Linked DNA regions of Elephas maximus indicus. The protein of the gene in region 1 purifies or fractionates together with the protein of each later gene. This does not show direct contact. Links are inferred from orthologs where the notes say so. Each region holds a gene or a part of one and is shown on either strand. Other genes may lie near its edges. The genes, in order: GNAI3 and RIC8A.

What was found.
Region 2: the proteins of GNAI3 (region 1) and RIC8A purify together in Homo sapiens (affinity purification with mass spectrometry; 3 studies listed by BioGRID and IntAct, counting the BioPlex papers as one, with this or other methods). This does not show direct contact. The link is inferred for Elephas maximus indicus from reciprocal best matches to the Homo sapiens genes GNAI3 and RIC8A.

The regions. Positions count from the first base shown.
Region 1 is NC_064821.1:172,028,681-172,037,908, forward strand, and holds the start of GNAI3 (guanine nucleotide-binding protein G(i) subunit alpha-3), read right to left. Parts: upstream 3,805-9,228; 5' UTR 3,668-3,804; coding exon 3,550-3,667; intron 1-3,549. Other genes in the region: GPR61 (G-protein coupled receptor 61), read right to left, coding at 8,200-9,228. UniProt on the Homo sapiens protein: Heterotrimeric guanine nucleotide-binding proteins (G proteins) function as transducers downstream of G protein-coupled receptors (GPCRs) in numerous signaling cascades.
Region 2 is NC_064825.1:138,015,362-138,024,670, forward strand, and holds the start of RIC8A (synembryn-A), read right to left. Parts: upstream 4,173-9,309; 5' UTR 4,039-4,172; coding exon 3,955-4,038; intron 3,577-3,954; coding exon 3,529-3,576; intron 3,461-3,528; coding exon 2,870-3,460; intron 2,447-2,869; coding exon 2,355-2,446; intron 1,926-2,354; coding exon 1,775-1,925; intron 726-1,774; coding exon 630-725; intron 547-629; coding exon 402-546; intron 335-401; coding exon 190-334; intron 1-189. Other genes in the region: BET1L (BET1-like protein), read left to right, coding at 6,025-6,043, 8,328-8,419, 8,668-8,724, 9,013-9,180.

The DNA.
Region 1 (9,228 bases):
TCAGAAAGTTTATAGAGAGAATCACCAAAAATGTTAAAATAGCATAACTGTTTTAAAATTCTGAAAAGTTATAAGAAGGATTTACAATTTCAACACTATTAATTAAAACAAAATTTCAACGCTATAACAAATTTTCAAACAGCACACCAATAAACCATTCCATGTGCCAGCACACTGGCTAGGAAGCTTTGCATGATTTTGCCTTTCAGTAGAATATTGTGATTGAACACAAGTTTGGCGTATCGAGATCTTCCCAATAACACCTAAAGAAAATTCAAAAACAGGCAAACAGCAGAGAAAATTACAGTACTGAAGTCTTCCTTAGCTATTTTAGCCCACACTGGTTTCCTTATTTAAATTTCTACAGTATTTATAATCTATAACATTCATTTCGATTTTATAATAACAACAATAGCTAATACTCACTGAGCTAGTACTATGTGCCAGACTGTATTCCACTTTACCCTATCGTATTTAATCCTCACAGCAATCCTATGAAGTACCTTTATCTTCTCCATTTTAAAAATGAGGAAACTGAGGCAGAGAGAAATAAATGAATTTTCCCAAGGTTATAGCTAGTAAGTGGGAATCAGGTTTTCAAGCAGTCTGACTTCAGACTATTAACCACTAGGCTAAACGACATCCCTTTGACAACAAAAATATATTACTACTTACTGAGCACCTATCATGTCCCAGGGAAGACAAAGGTAATAGAGATAGATCTCAAGTTAGACTAAGTTTGATAGTTTCAGAGTGATGAAGTAAAAATGACTCACATGTACATCAAAGAACGTACTCAACAGCAAAAAAAAAAAAAAATCACATACAGCGATGAGTACATTTTACATAAATAGCAAGGAAGGCAGTTTTAACTTCACATGTGCATCATCATCCGGCTCAAGCAAGAACATCTCTCTGGAACCTGTTTGAATTTGTTGATTTAACTTGCTCAAGGATACAAAAAAAAAAAAAAAACTTACGTAAAAAACAATGAAGTTAATGCCTCCTCTGCCAAAAGACCAGAAGAGCTGGATGATGCCCAGCTATCACTGCTGAACATTTCGATCAAAGATTCTACGGAAAAGAATTTCAAATTCTCATGGAACTCCAGACTTTCTAGAGCCATGGGGGCTAGATGAACCCCTGATACTACTGCCCTGAGATAAACTTTAAAACTTAAAACGAAGGTGAAAATGATTGCACAATCATTTCAAAAATGATTATATCTGAATTACATTTCGAAGGATGTAACCAATGTCGCTAAATTGTACATGCAGAAACGGTTGAACTGGTATATGTTTTACTGTGTATATTTTCAAAAACAACAAAGTTTTTTTAAAAATGAAGTGATAAAAATTAAAAACAAATGCTTTAATACTTTGATTTTTATTTACTGCTTTTCAAGTTTCCTAAATCATCACATGCTTTTGTTTTTAATTAAATGTAATATTTATAAAGTCCCGAATAAAGATTTTTCTAAACATCTGAACGAGTTCTACTTGCCTGAGTTCTGCCTGCTAAGTCTTGCCATTTGGAAGAAAGTCTCATAGTTTACAACTATATTAAAACAGGCTAACGGCCCAAGGGATCTCCGACGGCCAATGTAAATCAAAACACTCACAGAAGCCGAGAATGCACCTTTAACCTCATAACCAACCTATCAATATAGAAAATGCCTTCACTGTTATACTTTGTACCAAACATCTGAAAGGCCCCAGGACCAATGTCCAACATTAGCTGGCTCAGGCTGATTAGCAGCAAATGTTTAAGCAGCACCTACTATGTGCCAGGGACTGTGCTCATCCACAACAACACCTGTTACATACCTACCGCCGTCAGGTCGATTCCAACCCACGACGACCCTTCAAGACAGAGTAGAACTGCTCCGTAGGGCTTCCAAGACTGTAAATCTTCACAGAAGCAGACTGCCACATCGCTGTCCCGCAGAACGGCTGGTGGGTTCAAACCACTGACTTTTCGGCTAGAAGCCAAGCACTTAACCACTGCGGAACCAGGGCTCCTTATCTATTACATAGACCGTGGAAATCTTGAACTAAATCTGAATTTGTGCCTTCTGAAAGTTTAGGCAGTCAAACTGGAAGCTCAAAATCCAATGCAGTTTTCCCCTTATATCCAAAAAAGCTATTACCAGGGCTTCTGCGATCAACAGACAAACAAATATGTTAACAAGAAGAGACTAGCAGGTGCAGCCAGCACGTCCCAAAGTTCAAACTAAAACAAGCCTTGGATTATGGTGGTGCATTCTGTCCTCTGAGTCTGTTTTACACTATGAAAATTTGGCACTTCCCCTAAAGCAGCTACTTTTTCTCAAAAGTCAACTGTTTTAAAAATTAAGCTGTTCTATTGCTTAAGAAACCACTTTATTCTTATTCTTCTCTAATGGGTCCCTAGAAAATATTAATAGTGAAGAAATGTGGCTCGATTTATTGGTAAACTAATGCCAAGGTACTTCATATGATTTACTGAGCCTCTAGAAGCCAGTCTCTCAAAAATTGTAAAACTAAACCTGCTGAGCAAAATGCACCTGATGGTCCGTAAAAGCTATTTTTTAAAAATGTCAGGTAGCATCATAAAAAGTAATGCCTAAAGCCAATATTTTTTATTCGAAGAAACCAAAAAAGATAAAACAGTTCACCATAGATCTGTCGGTCTTTAGAAGAAATATGTCCAATTTCTTAACTTTTCCTAACTCCTTCATTCACACTGCACATCACCCCTAGCCAACTATTGAGCAACTCCCAATAGATAATCTATGTCCACTACCTCAACTGCCACAAATCTCAACCAAGCCATTCTTTAAATTTCCCCAGCTCTCTACATCCCCCCTTTATAAAAACAGGGGAGGGGGCTGTAAAATTTAAGAGAATAAAAATGATAGAAAACGCAGGACAAGTATAAAGACGGCCTCAGCACCCAAGCTCTCTTCGTTCATACCCGATAACCTGTCACCCACCTTTATGTTCCTGGATAATCCAAGTTCCCTCCACTTACCAACAGTTCAAAATGCCCACTCTCTAATGACAGAGTCCTTATGTGATCGCTCTGCCCCAACCTCTCTATTTATATTAATTACTCTAAGTTTCCCAGCTCTATTCTAAGAGTACCACTACGCTTCAAATTCGCAAACCATTATACAAACCCTACACATTACACTGTATCCCGAACTCCTTGCTATCAAAACACTGCAAATCCATACAAAAGTTTCCCTAATATCAGCTGTTTTATGAGTATTTCCTATATTCCTAACAGTCTCTTTACGGTACCGCCCCATTCCGAAGCTCTCTACGCTAAACCCAATTCCAGCCCGGAGTCACACCCTCTACAGCTTAATTCCTACAACCCCAAACCCCACCCCCTCATCACGCCCTCCGGGGCCTCAGACACCAACCTAAATACCCGCCCCAAGCCCGTCAAGCCCTCTAGATCTCTCCGGAGTCCTTTACACCGGCCCGGCCTGACCCCCCCTCAGATTTTCCAAGTGCCCAGGGCCTCCCAACCACCCCGCCAGCCACGCCCACGGCCCCATACCAAGCAGGAGCAGCTTTACTTCCTTGGCCGCCTTCTCCCCGTCCTCCCGCAAGTTGCGGTCGATCATCTTGCTCCGCTCCACCGCCGCCTTGTCTTCGGCGCTCAACGTGCAGCCCATGGCGGCGGCGGGAGAGGGGACCGTATCCGGGCTCACTCACACACCGCGGCGACTGCGGCTCGGGCGACTGAGACGGCGCCTGCTGCTGGGCGGCGTCCCTCTTCAGTCTCAGCTCCCGGAGCGCCCAGAGGAACCGGATATCCGGCGTTTGCGACACTTCCGGTGATGCCCTACGGCCGTCCCTTCTCAAACCGCTCTAGCTCCGGGAGGGGAGGTGCTACCAAAAGCGGAAGTACTGGGGAGGGGGCGGTAGGCTCAGGTTATGGATTTGTGGGCTGGGTGCACACCTCTAGTCCGTCTTTAGTCTCTTTTTCCCTTTTCGTCTGCCTTTTGCTTTTCTATATTATTTAAATAAATGTAGAAAATCCTGGGTCTGGCTTCTGTATTTCATAGGCGCCTTTCTGAGATCCCACAGACGGGTTTGGACGGGGCAGGATGGTGGGAGAGATTCTCAGCTAAGAGCCTACAGCCCGCACGGAAGGCTTTGCTGGGTGCAGGCCAGTGAGCCTTTGATCGCTGGCCTTGGAGATCCTGGCCGCTGCCCAAGTATAGGACAGTCTGCCAGGGTCGTCTCGGCTAGATTTATAGAAAGGGAACAAACTGCAGCCTGGTCCCCAGCCGCGCCTCACATCTGAGATCTAACACTATAGCGAGCCACTTCTGCCCTCTCCTCTGGCCCGCTACCTCCTGCTCTCAAAATGGATTCTGGTCCGCGTGCCATTACGTACGAGGTTCTGTGGATTGGGGAGTTACCCAGCTCCTGTGTTGTCAAAGAACCACTTGCAATCTCTAGCAGAGACCCAGTAACCTGAAAGTTACGCGTGTAGTTCATAAAATTTCCATGCTGCCCTCTCTAACATAAGCCAATTTTAGCTCTTATGGTCGTCTAGCTTAGGGGCTTAGGACTTTTACCAAAATTAGTCAGCTGCAGTCCCACTCCCCAAAACAAACCAGTGCATCTTGTGAATCTTCTAAATTTACTGTGTGCTCGTTTTTCAACTCTAGTGACACCTGAAAATTAGTAAGTCCCTGTGAAAACCCCAGGCTGATACTTCCTTTCCTTGATAACCCCAGGTACTAGTTGAAGGCGGCCTTAACTTCCCTTTACTGCCAAACGCCCCACAAACACTCTCACCATACGTTCTAGGGAGAGGAACTCTTTCGTGGCTCCCAAAAAATCTTTCCCTGTGACTAAAAATTATTTAATTACCCTAATAGAATTTAAACCTTAGAGGCTAAGGTTCCCAATAGAAAGGTCTATATGGTGATGATTTATTAATTACAGCAATATCATGAGAGCCATATTAACCTAACCCAAAAAACGCATCAATGCCAATCTTCAGAGTTTGAAGGTCTCCCACTCATTCTCAAACGACTGTTAGGATAACCATAATCAGTGTTTCTGGGGAAAAAGGGCAAGAGGAAAGGGGAAGAAAAAACAGTATTTATTGAGTACCTATTTGCCAGGTATGGCTAGGTGCTTCCACTGTCATCTCTTTTAATCCTCACAACAACCCTGTGAGGTAGGTAATATCCTCATTTTTACAGATGAGGAAATAGGCTCAGAGAAATTAAGCAGCTTTCCCAAGTTCACACAGTGAGTAAGTAGATCTATCTGACTCCAAATTTGTCCCTTTTCTACCATGACCCTATAGGATCTTGCCTGGAGAGAACTGACAACAGAGGGTCTAAAGTTTTCATCTAAGATTGGGAGTCACCCCAACACCACCAGAATGTGGGTGAAAAAGTAAATGACAGAATGGTTGCCCCAACTTGTTGCCTTTTGTGAATTAGGGCGTTCAGGTTTTATCCAGGAACAGTTTTCAGAGCTAAGATAACATATCAAACTTTATCAAGCCAAACTAGTGACTAGAAAACGCCTGGAACGTGGTCATGGCAGAAATTGTTGGGAACATTCTCAGCATGACAGGAGAGAATTTTTTATTTCCTTCATTATCCACTCAGACAAGGAAAAATAACTGACAATTTTCATCGTCAAACTCTGTAATAAACACCAATGAGATCACAGTGTCAGGAAATTTCAGCCTGAATTAGAGAGATCCTTGCACTTAAAACTTTCTTCTTCGATGTATGTAAACAAAGGTTAGAGGGTAAAACCCAAAAAAAGGGCAAAATAAATTACCAAAATGGCTGCCAGGCAAGGTTTAATTTCCCCCTCTTCCCCTTCACCACACGCACCCCTTTCCTTTTTCAACTGGACTCACACTGCCACCTGCTGGCAATGCTTGTGTTTTGAAGAAGAATTTCTCCCTCATCTAGGAATGAGATTCCTCAGTATGATTTTATCTTAAAATGGAATAGAGAGAGCAGTACAAACATGTTTTTTCAATCACAAAGGACTCTCTTCACTGTATATACTACCTTTGTAAGGTATTTTATCAATATAATAGGCACTAGATTGGAGTAATAAGTGGTAGGAAGACAGAAACCTAGAAATATTTCTAGATGAAGGGAGGGAAAGCTACGTTTGCCCAAGTTCATTTAATTAATCATTTTCTCCACTAGACAGTTTTCTTTTATAACTGTCACCCTTTCCACAATCTACAGGAAACCTCTGTGTAGATATATTTCTGCAATGGACCAAACTCTCAGAAGTTATAACCACAGACATATTCTCCAATCTATCTCTCAAATACTTGCTATGGTACTTTACCAGCTATCAATGCTCTGTAAAAATACAAAGTATCTGATCAAATTAGACTGTGAACTGCTTGAAAGCAGTGACCGCACATCGTTTGTGTGGGTCCCAGAGAATAGTGGGTGTTCAACTAGTATGCACTGAATTGAACTGAAGGAGTCAGTATTGATATCAGTATAACTTTTTTATAGTAAAATTATTTATTGGCTGTTCAAAGGGGAAACTATCCCACTCCCACCAATCCATTTTCCCCTTTGATGCTCAATGAGCCAGGCTTTTGTTCAAATACAGACCATGCCATCCCCTGGTCCTGCCTTATCCTTGTGTGTCACCTGATTAAATTGGGGGAAGCAGGGTGAACAGGTAGTCCCAGATGGGTGTCCTGGCTAGTTTGCAATTACTCCCTCTTCCTTGAAAATTTGATTGGTTCATGCTCTGGCCACTAATACCAAGTAATAGTTCCTCCAATCGCAATCAGTGAACAGTTGAGCCCAACTCCTGTGCCTTCTCTCCAATCCAGGGCTGCAGATAGAAGAGATTTAAGTCACTGAAGCTAATTTTGAGAGTGATGAATGAGTTATAGAGAGGCATTCGGTGGCCCATGGAAAACCCACCCTTTCCATGCCCAACCTTAGTCTCTTGTACCCGATTATCCAGGGGGCTGGAGGTGGGTCGCTGCCATGAGGAGAGAGATCAGGGAGGCCAGTCCTGGAAGGGAAAGATTATCGATATTATTGATCAGGGTGATTAGCTGGCCTCTTTGTACTCAGCCACCTTAGCAATTCAAATGCTAGCTCCCACCCTCAGCCATTCCACTCCCAATCTTTCCAAGATCTTCATCCTAAAAAGGAGAAACATCCATCCTATCTAATTCTCTTGCCTCTGCTGAGATCAAGCCCTAAGCTTGATCTCCCATATACAGAGTGACAGGGAAATAAAGAAGAGGGGCTGCTCCTGAGAGTGGGAGAGAGAGCTGCAGTCAGCTTTCCTGTCTTCTACTCCACGTACCCTGAACTGCTATTCCGCTTGTTTCTGGCCAAACTTGGATAATTGTGGTAGGAAGGAACATACCCAACTCATCCTTTCCCTTTAAGGAAATTTCAGATATAAAACTGGAAAGAGATCTATTAGCTTGAATGGAAACACTTGGCTGTAATTTAGTTCTTTCTAAACCTAGGAAGAAATAGCCCTGGTGGTGCAGTGGTTAAGCACTCAGCTGCTAACCGAAAAGGTTGGCGGTTTGAACCCACCAGCTGCTCCATGGGAGAAAGATGTGGCAGTCTGCTTCCATAAAGATTACAGCCTTGGAAACCCTGTAGGGCAGTTCTACTTTGTCCTACAGGGTTGCTATGCGTAGAAATCGAGTCAACGGCGATGGGTTTGGTTTTTTTTTGGTTTTAAACCTAGCAAGGCAATGAGAAGACACGGGTCATTTTCTTAACTTGCTTGGATGCAATTACCGCCCTGGACAATTATACTGGAAAATAAAATATCCAAAGTAGCCCCAGAATAACTCCAAACGTAGCCTACAGCCCTGTATCCACCAACTTAGAGAGTTTCCCTGCTTCCTGTGGCATGGAAAACTCACTGGTTAAGAGGCTTCATCTCACCTTTGTGACCCTTTTCTCTCAACACCAGCTCGCCATACCCAGGTTCCCTCCCCCAGTAGTCAAGGATCACAGCCAAGTCCAAAGCTGTTGCCACATGTCCATGCTGTCAGCTGTATTCCTGACCCAGGAAATGCCAAGCAAAAGCTGTGTGCAGAGACCCCACCTCCAGCTCCAGCCAGCTGGGAACAGGTGATTCCACAAGGTGGTCCTTGCAATCATAACAGGCCCCCAGGCCCATCTCCCTCTGAGTGTCCAGCAGCCCATCACGATTCCAGCCGGGGTGACGGAGCAGGACGGAGGTAGCTGTCTGACATGATGATGTCGCTGGTAAGTTGCTGCTCCAGGAACTCAGAGGTCTCCTCAGCTATCTGACCTGGAATTCGAAAGTCAACAGCAGGTGGCTCCTGCTTGGGGCTGGGTAGGGGTCGGGAAACCCAGGACTCTGTGGGACAGCCAGTCCCCTGAAGGAACTGCAGAAAGTTTTCCTCAATTGAGCCCTCCCGACTAGGCAGCCTCAGTTCCTCCTCTGGAGCCGGCTTGAAGAAGCAAACAAACTGCTTGCTGAGCTCCCCCCGGATCTGCCGATTGAGACATCCATAGAAGAAAGGGTTGGAAGTGAAACAGAAGTAGCCGATCCAGGTGACCACACTCTCTACCTGCCCGGTTGAAATGGGCTGAGCACTCAGGGCAACATAGAGGTGGAAAGAGAAATAGGGCAACCAACAGAGCAGGAACTGTCCCCCCACGGCCAAGAGAATCACTGCCGCCTTCCCTCCTCCAAACGTCCGGTGCGGGGTGGTCTGGGGGGCCCCCGAGCTGGTGACCATAGTGGAACGGCTACTGAGAGACTCCGAGCGTTGCCGGGGTGTCTCCATCCACGTGGGCAGGGGCCCATGCTGCATGGCAGCCACTCGAGCCACTCGGAACATGCTGCAGTAGACCACAAGGATGAGGAGCAGGGGCAACAAGAAGTAAAGGACAGCAAAGACCACCACAAAAAGCTGGCAGTAGGCACTGCGGCTCCATTGGAGCGAGCAGCCTGGGGGGATGCTGGGAGCGCCTTCCTCCCAGGATACCCTTCCCAAAACTGGCACAGAAGCCATGGCCAAGGCCTTCACCCACACCCCCACAAGCACAGAGGCCACCAGCCCTAGTGTCATGCGCACCTCATAGCGCATGGGGTGGACCACGTAATAGTAGCGCTCCACGTTGATGGCCGACACCGAGAGGATGGCCAAGCTGACAAAGCATACACTCAGAAACAAGTAGAGGCGGCAGGCAACCTCCCCAAA
Region 2 (9,309 bases), on another chromosome or scaffold:
TGGGAGGGGCTGGAGGGACAGTGGGCTCCCGAAATTCCCCCAGCAGTTAGGGGCTCCCACGTACAGACCACCTACCCAGACAGGCCCCGCCCCTGACCTGGATCTCAAGACAGATGCCACTCAGGGGAAGAAGCTGCTTCCACCCCCGTCCCACCCCACAGACGGGTGGTGTGGGCCAGGGCAGCACACCTGGCCTTGGCTTCCTTGTACTCCTCCGTGTCTGTGTCCTCGTCCTCCGAGTACTGGCCTGAGGCACGGCCCCCTGCCATGAGGCCCCTGGCAGCCAGGAGACCGGCGGCGTTCCCGTAGCCCGTGTACTTGATGAATCGGGGCACTGAAGGCAGGTGGAGGTCAGAGCCAGCCACGGCTGTGGGAGGGGTAGGTGCCCAGCCCCCACTCACCACTCTCGGCGCAGAGTACAAACAGGAACTCAGCAGCCACGCGCTTCACGTCAGTGTCCAGGTGTGTCATGAGGCGGACCAGCCTGTTGCGCAGCAGTCCCCCCACCTCGGGGCGGGTGCTCACGTCCCGCAGCGGGGGCAGCACCTGGGGAGTGGCCCGTCCCTTAGCCTGGGCGCAGCATGGTGCGGTCTGTGCCCAGGCCTGCCCCTGCCCCTAGGACCCCATACCTGGGCCTTTAGGAACTTCCTGGCTGGGCGGTGTGCACGGGCACACTCAGTCAGCACGCTCAACACAGGAGCCACGCTCTCCTTCAGCCGGTGCGTCTGTGGAGAAGCCTTTGTCACCTACCTGGCCCCACTGGCTTGCAGGTCCTGATGACAGGGGCTTGGGAACAAAAGTGGGACCTTGGCGGCGGCGGGGGAGGGGGGGTGGGTCTTGCAGAGGACCTGAAGCACCAACTGTATAGCAGGGCCTGCTCCAAACAGAAACCCCCACAGCCCGTACCCAGTCCCTCAGGCCAGCGAGACCCGAGACTTTGCCTGGTCTTCTGTCCGCATTTTTATCTTTTGTGAAAACACCCATACACGCATTCTACTGTTCCCTTTTCCACGTGAGTAACCTTTTAGATAATTTAAGGCGGATGCTTAAACATTTGTATCGGAACAAGTAGCAGTTCACGTGAGGCGCTCTGTTTCCTTGATTGTAGCTTCTCACACTACGGCCTCAAGTTAGCGCTCGCGTCTGCACAACAGGCACACGTAGTGCAGATGTGCCCCATGGTTCACACTGCACCTGAGCACCCTTCCCCAGGCGCTGTGGGTTCTGGAATCTTCTGAGTATCGAGCCTGTCCTGCTACATGACACTGCAAGCTCCTGGAAATCTGTTGAAGCCCAGCCACCCGGCCTCCTGGGGCGTCCCCGCAGTGATGAGAAGGACCCACTGGCCCAAGACTCCTACAGATTCTGCCTTAGGGAGGCCAAGAGAGGATGAGGCAGGGGGCAGCAAGGGACAACAAAGGGTTGGTGGGCACAGTGACACCAACGTTTAAGCATCATGCACATGGACTGGGCATTTCCCAGGACCACACAAAAGAGACCCACAACCATAAAAAAATTACAAGGACAAGCACCACACTGGACTTTGTAAACCAGTTAGTGTACCCACAGAGGGTCCACTGTTCAGACCCTCCACCAATCAAGAGTGAAACCTTCAGAAGAAAGGGCTCCACACGCTTCTCAAGAAGAACCATGGGCACTGGAGGGAATGCCCGACTCACATCAGAGACTTCCATGCACCAGGGCTGGTGGTGAAGAAGCAGGGAAAAGCCAGGTCAGACCCCCAGGGGCCTGCACAGCAGTCCCTCCTGCCTACCTGGTCCAAACGCCGCTCCAGGAAGTCAAGGAGAGCATGAATCACGTCCATGTTCACTCCCATGAACTCCAGGGAGCCTGTGTGCAGCTCCGGAGTGAGGAGGACGTCAAGGCACTCAAGTGGCAAGTTTCCCAGGAGATTCACTGCATGGCTGCAGACAGATGGGGTTTAATTAGGACAACTGTCCGGCAAGTGCAGTCCTAGCTGCCACCCTTCTCAGACCACACGTGAGGCTGCTCATCAGCCCAGGTCCAGGCGTCAGCGCCTCCCCTGACTGATCCTGGTGGTGCCAGGAATACCCAGGTATTTCTGAATGGTGCTGCTGCCCACCTCACTCAGACAGGTGAAATCAGACTCTAGGGTGGGTCCCTTCTGCTCTCTTTGCCCCGCCTCCCGATCCACAGCCAAGACTGAGAACCCTGTCTGAGCATCCCCTTCCCAGCCAAGGCAGGCCCACATGCACACCACCCCCATCTACCTTGAAGCCCCACCCACAGCCCCACCCACCCACCTCAAGGCCCCGCCCACCTGTAACCCATACCCCACACCCCCACTTACCCACCTCAAGCCCCTCCCTCACCCGTGGAACTCCTCCGTGCGGTCGCCGGCAGCCGAGACCATCACACAGTGCCGCAGAAGGATCCCCAGATGCCGGTAACAGGCAGCATCATCCTAACCAGAAACATGTTCTTAGAGGAGAGAAGAACCCCACTCCCGTGCTGTTGCCAGCTAAGGCTCTTCCATCCACTGAGCCTACCAACAAGCCTAGTCCTGGGCCCTTGTCCTCTCCAATGTGACCTTTACTTTACTAACAGTGGGGCTAAATAGCCTCTACTCTTTTCCTAACAGCACTTTTCCAACTAAGAACGTCAACACAGTCCCTTGGGATGAAATCCTGTTTCCTCTCCTACCACATACTCTGGTTCCTGCTGGGCCTGGAGAACCAGAAACCACCTCCCCTCGCAGCCTCCCTCCAATGCCTTCCTTGAGGCCCCTCCTCAAAAGGGACCCTCCTCTTCTCCAAGAGGCAGGAACCCCAATCCTCTCTCATCTGATGCCCACAAAATCAAAGGCACCTGTGAGTTGAGCCCTCACCTCATCCACCTCCTGCTTGACCAAATCGAAGGTGATGTTGAAGAGAACTTTGAGGATCTCCATGGCCCGCTCTGTCTCCTGTGCAGGGAGGAACTCAGGGGGGCTCTCCTCTGGGGACGCCCCCAACGTCAGCTCCAGCGCATGGGTCAGCAGGCGCACCCCCTGCAGCTCCCGAAACAGTTGCTGGCGCACGTCAGTGCGCAGTGCCGTCAGCAAGAAGAGTAGCCGCAAGTCAAAGAACTGGACATCATGCGGGAAGCTCCGCTGCCCGGAGAGCCGCACACGCTCTGAGAGCCTTACTACCAGGCAGGCCTGGGCAGCCAACGCCTGTGCCGCGGGGCTGCTCAGCACGAGGTTGCAGAGGCACTTGAGGGCCTCAAGCACAATGTCCATGTCTGGAGACTCAGGGTCAGGTCCCTCGGACACGAAGATGCCAGCACAGCGAGCCAGGGCCTGCAGGCTCGGGCGGCTGGTGAACAGGTCCAGGCAGCCGCGGTCCCGGGACAGGATGCGAAGGCTCTGCAGCCAAGTGGCGCGTCGAGAGGGCGGCAGGCCCTGCTCCAGGGCCGACACCAGCAGGCCGGCCAGTCTCTGCAGAGAGAGGAGCAGCTCCACCAGGCCCGCCCCCGCCCAGCCCCCCACCCCCGGCCAGCACCCACCTTCCTGTCTTCCCGCTGCGCGTCCTCAAACGTGAAGCTCTCCGAGTTCTGCAGAGAGAGATCAAGGGATCACGACGTTCAGGTTCCCCAGCCGGGGCAGGACCGCGCCCGCAGGGGGGCGGCAGCATCGGCCTCGACTCTGAGCAGGCGGCTGGGCCCGGCGCCCCCACCCGCAGACGCCCCCCACCGCGCCCCCCCGCCCGCAGATGCCACCACCGCGCCCCCCCGCCCGCAGACGCCCCCCACCGCGCGCCCCCCCGCCCGCAGACGCCCCCCACCGCGCGCCCCCACCGCGCCCCCCCGCCCGCAGACGCCCCCCACCGCGCCCCCCCGCCCGCAGACGCCCCCACAGCCCGTCCCGCAGGCTCAGCCCCGCCGCGCGGCGCGCCCACCGTAGTGCCCGGCCCGTCAAAGGCTCGCGCTCACCTCCCGGTTGTACGTCCGCAGGGCCTCCATCATTGCGGCCTCCTCCCCCGCCTCCACGGCATTCGCAACCGCCCGGGGCTCCATGGCGTCGCTGGGACCGGCGCGGGGAGGCTCCAGTCGGCGAGCGGAAGGCCCTCGAGCCGCGGAGCCGACCCCGCCCTGCCTCCCGACCCAGCGTCACGCGCGCGGGGGAGGCCGGGACCGAAAGTGCGCGCGCCACGGGGAAGGCCTGGACGGGGCATGCGCGCGCCGCGGGAGGGGCCTGGACGGGGCATGCGCGGCGCCGCGGGAGGGGCCTGGACGGGGCATGCGCAGAGCCGCGGGAGGGGCCTGGACGGGGCATGCGCGGCGCCGCGGGAGGGGCCTGGACGGGGCATGCGCAGAGCCGCGGGAGGGGCCTGGACGGGGCATGCGCAGAGCCGCGGGAGGGGCCTGGACGGGGCATGCGCGGAGCCGCGGAGAGGTCCGGGTGGTGTTGGTGGCCTTGAAGTCGACTAGGCTACGAGACCCGGCTTGGTTATCGGCTGACCTCAGAGTCCGAGTCGCTCAGTGCAGAACCATGGCCCACCCCCCGACTGCTCCTTGGGCCAGAATTTCCAACAGGAGAGGGCCTCGTCCCCCCACCCGCGACACGCACACACTAACGCCCTTCTTGATCCACCGAACGAATGGGAGGGGGACAACCGAGGTGGAACTTTGTAGTCCTGGGGCCAATTGGTTTGATAAACAGGATTTTGTTGAGCTCCTATTTCATGCGAGGTGCTAGGGTCCCTGCCTTTCTGAAGTTCGTCTTCTAGAGAGGAAGACAGACCAGGAAAAACAAATGACTGGGCGGTCATAAGTGCCATGATTCAAAAAGCAGCCAAGAGTCCTGTGATCTCCAGTGCATGGTGGGCTGCAAAAGGCTCTGAAGAAGTGACCCTCTTGCTGAGACGAATGACAAGAACAGGGGCCAGGAAAAGGCCTGAGAGGGGTCGTTCAAGGCAGAAGGAATAGCTTGTCCAAGAGTGGGAATGACCGTGGTGGGATGGGGAAAGGAAGTTACCGTTGGAGCTGAGACGAGGGGGAGTGGGGAAGAGGTCAGGGATGAAGAGGGGAGCCTGACCGTGTGCGGCGATTTCCTCCATGTGTAACCCAGACCTGGTGCCCAGCCTGGACGCGGTTTTCTTTTTGTGTAAAACAGGAATAATAAAAGTGCCCGTCTCAATGGGTTATCATGAGGATTAAATGCATTTAAGTGCAAAGCACTCAACGTAGTGTTTCGCACACAGAAAATGGTCCGTAACGGTGGGTAACTTATAAATACGGCGCATCCACCCATCTATTCTTTCAATAAACATTGAGCATCTACTTCGTGCCAGGCCCTTTGTTAGGGACAAAGTTCAAAGTCCCCACCTATCACCAATACCCCTATTCCTTGCTTTATTTTTTCCACGATTCTTCACGCCTCTACTTTAACAAACACACAGAGCTTCCTCGGTGCAGGCACTGTCCTAAGCACTGTCAGCTCTGTAGATGCGAGCTGGTGTGCAGAGGTTAACCATCCCCAGGCCACACCAGGGCGATGCTGTCCCTAACGCGCCGCAGCTTTGGCTTGTCTGCAGCACTAGGACGGTGGGCGCCCCGGTCGCGGAGCCCGGCCCAGAGCGGAGCGCAGGCAGGCAGGCGGGACGCCACCCGCACCTAGCCTGTAAAAGCTGCCCGGTATTTACTGGCTAGCCTGGCGCTACGTTACTGCCTGATGCACCTCTGGTTGGAATAACCGAGAGAAGAGCCTTTCGGGGACCATGATTTGCCATTAAAAATAGAAGGCAACCAAGCGGTACCAAAAGCAAACAACCCCGCCGCGCCCCCATTTCGCGGGCTCTGAAGCCAACTTGAACTCACTTCCGCCTCCTTTCAGCCGGAAGTCGAGCGAGGCTCTGGCGGAAGGGGCGGGGCTGTGGCCGGTCGGGGCGGGGCCACGGCTCAGTGGGGGCCGGAAGCCTCTTCCGGTGCCCAGTGCCACGTCCGTGGAGGCGGCGGCGGCGGCCCAACCGGGGACCGAGGCCCGGGCCGGAACTGGGCGCGATGGCGGACTGGGCTAGAGGTGCGCGCCGGGAAGCACGGCTGTTGGAACCGGGGGGCGGGGCCGGAACCGGGGCAACACCGCGGGAGCGACCCCGCCGCGGCGGGCGGAGCCGGGGCTCCGGGGCCTCCCCGGGCGGGAGCGGGCCGCACTCCGCGGGCGCTGAGGGCCCTGCCGCTCGGTCCCGGCCGCAGAGCGTACCCCGCACCCACTCGTGCGGCGCCCAGGGCCCCTGGGGCCTAGGATGGGGCCTCGGACGGGCCACCCGGCGACTGTCCGAGAGGCTGGTGCGAGGACCCGTGAGCCTCCGAGTCGAGGCTGTGCGGTGGGAGGGTCCAGACAGGCCGTGTACCGACTCGGTGTTCCCGTCTGTTAAGGGGGGCTGTGTACCGACTCGGTGTTCCCGTCTGTTAAGCGGGGCCGTGTACCGACTCGGTGTTCCCGTCTGTTAAGGGGGGCTGTGTACCGACTCGGTGTTCCCGTCTGTTAAGTGGGGTTCTGATACCTGTCCCATTGGACTGTCCTGACGCGTAAAGGCGTAGAGAACATGAAAGATGCCTCGCACAATTGGCTCTCCTTCCCCGGGTGTAAAATGGTGTGGCGGGGCCTCTGACCTCCTCTGACTTCACAAGTGGGAAGGAGAAAGGTCAGCACCAGCAGCACAAGGCTGATTGCGTTGAGGTGGAGGTCAGACATGCCTCCACCCATCAACCCTTTTACCAATTCTGACACCAGCTGCCCCTCCCACGGCACTCTGTACTCCTCTGTTGGGTTCGATAATTGGTTGCAATGATCACACAGGACTCATAGACTCGTAGGTAGTTAAGGTTTGTTAGGGAAGTAATGGGTTACAATTCAGGATCAGGAACGCTCAGGATACAGTTCTGGGATCAAGACAGCCTCTTTGCCACAGGCCTTTCTCTGCCCCCCGCCCCCCCGCCTCTGACCTGTTCATCCAAGTGTTACAAAGCTCTTTTAGCTCTGCCAGCGAATACCTGGAGGCACCCCAGTCCGCCAGGAAGCCTTGTGCCGGAAGACGCTTAGCTCTCTGGCTCTGTGGGTGGGCAAGCCCACTGCACCGTCTCCTGCCAGTCTCCTGGTTCTGCTGCCTCTGCTGCCACTGCTTCTTGCTATCTCCAGTGTTAACAGCTCTCTCTCTCTGTCTTCGGGGTCCAGGACGTTCCCAGAGCAGGGATCCCGGGTCCAAAGGATGCGCTCCACTCCTAGCTCTTTTTTGGTGGTAGTGAGAACCCCACTCTGCTCTGGAATTGACTGCTTGTTTAAGTCCAGCTGGATGGCAAAACTGACCAGTCCCCTTATTAGGGTTTTATATACCTTATTAGCATGATCACACCTCCGTAGGGTCCTGTGCACCTTATTTGCATGATCAGTAAGCTATCCAATCGTCTTGGCAGGTCATAAGCACCTTATTTGCAGTTACAAAAACTGTTGACTAGAAGGGCCATATTAAGCGATTCACTGTACTGCAGCAGGGGTCTTTACACGTCATTCCTGTGGGGCTGTGCTGCACTCCAGTGGGTCACGTAGACGTCATTGACCCAGGTGCGTGAGGTGTGCGCGGGGCGACGATTCTCATCCACCCGCTGTGATGCGAATCCTGCATCTCCTGGCCCAGCCCCAAAGTGGAGAGTGGAAAATGGGTTTGTCGGGCCACAGGCAGTCACAATGGGGAGCAAACACAGTGCACAGACCCAGCTATGCCCTTGGGGTCAGGTATCTCAGCTCCTGACCATTCCCATGTGTGAAAGGCTACCCAAGGTCCCCGGCCACCTGTCACCTCTTCAGGACCCAGCTCATGGCCGCCCACACAGGAGCTTCCCTGTACCCTCCAGGGGTCCTTCCAGGTTGCTCTTGAGGATTGTCTGGTGAACATAAAGAACACACAGGCAGGTGTTGTGTCTTCCCAGTACCCCTGGGCTTGGTCCAGGTCCTGGCAGAGTCAGGTTAGAAAGTGCTGGTTGGACAAGCCCGTCGGGGGCACACGGGGGGGCGTTCCATGCGTCCTGCGCGGGCATGTACATGGGATGTGCACTCGCACGTTGTTGCACAGATTGTCCTATGGGAAAGACCTGCGGACCTCACACTGGAACCTAGACTAGGACACACCTGCCCAGCAGGTTAGGACCCACACCTGCCCAGCAGGTCACAGATGGAGGGGACTCAGGCCCACTGACATGTCTACCTGGGTCCAGTGGGATGGATGAAGGCGCAGAGAGTCGGCTCCCCGAGTTCCAGGGTTGGGGCTTCCACTGGTGATGCGATCCCTCCCTCTCTCTCTCTGCAGCTCAGAGCCCTGGGGCTGTGGATGAAATTCTGGACCAGGAGAACAAGCGGATGGCAGACCACCTGGCCTCCAAGGTCACCCGGCTCAAGTCGGTCTGTGCAGTTGTGGGCAGGACCTGAGGGAGGGCAGCCAGCTGGAGGGGGGTTCCAGGCAGTGTATCCCTCTCTTCACCCCATCCATGCTTACCTACCACACAGGTTCTGGGTGACACCTGACCTTGCCAGCGGCACCCATGTCCTGCCGGTTTGCTGGCAAGGTCTGGCTAGTCTTGCAGGGAGGGTGGGGACCGCCCACTCTTTGTGGCCCTGGCCTGAGCCTGCCTTCTCTGTGCCCTGACCAGCTGGCCCTGGACATTGACAGGGATGCAGAGGACCAGAACCACTACCTGGACAGCATGGTAGGGGCCTACAGCCTTCCCCACCTCAGCTGTGTCCCCTGCCCACACCCTGTGTTTGGCTTGTGCCCACCCTCCCGCATGGTCATCTCTGATCCCCACATACCAGTCCCTGCCCCGTACCCTCTCCATGCCTCGCACCCCGTAGTACCTGTCCTGTACCGCCATCCCTGCCCCCGTGCCCTGCTCTGTCCCCCCACCCTCCGTCTACCCCTCACCTTTGTCCCTGCCCTACACCCCTCTATCCTGCACTCTGTCCCTGCCCCCCATGTGATGGACAGCTCCCCCTAGGACTCAGATTTCTCAAGTGTGACGGGCCTGCTCACTGGGAGTGTGAAACGCTTCTCTACAATGGCACGGTCTGGACGTGACAACCGGAGACTTCTGTGCGGTGTGGCTTTGGGCCTGCTCGTGGCCTTCTTCATTCTCTCCTACCTTCTGTCGAAGGCAAGGACGTGAGGAGTGGGTTCTGGGGCTTTGCCACAAGATACCCCTTTATGGACGACTGTGAGTCAGCAGCCTTTTTTCTCTGAGGCACGTCAGCTGGTCTTTGTGTGGACAGGGCCCTCCCCTTGGGTGCTGGAGGCA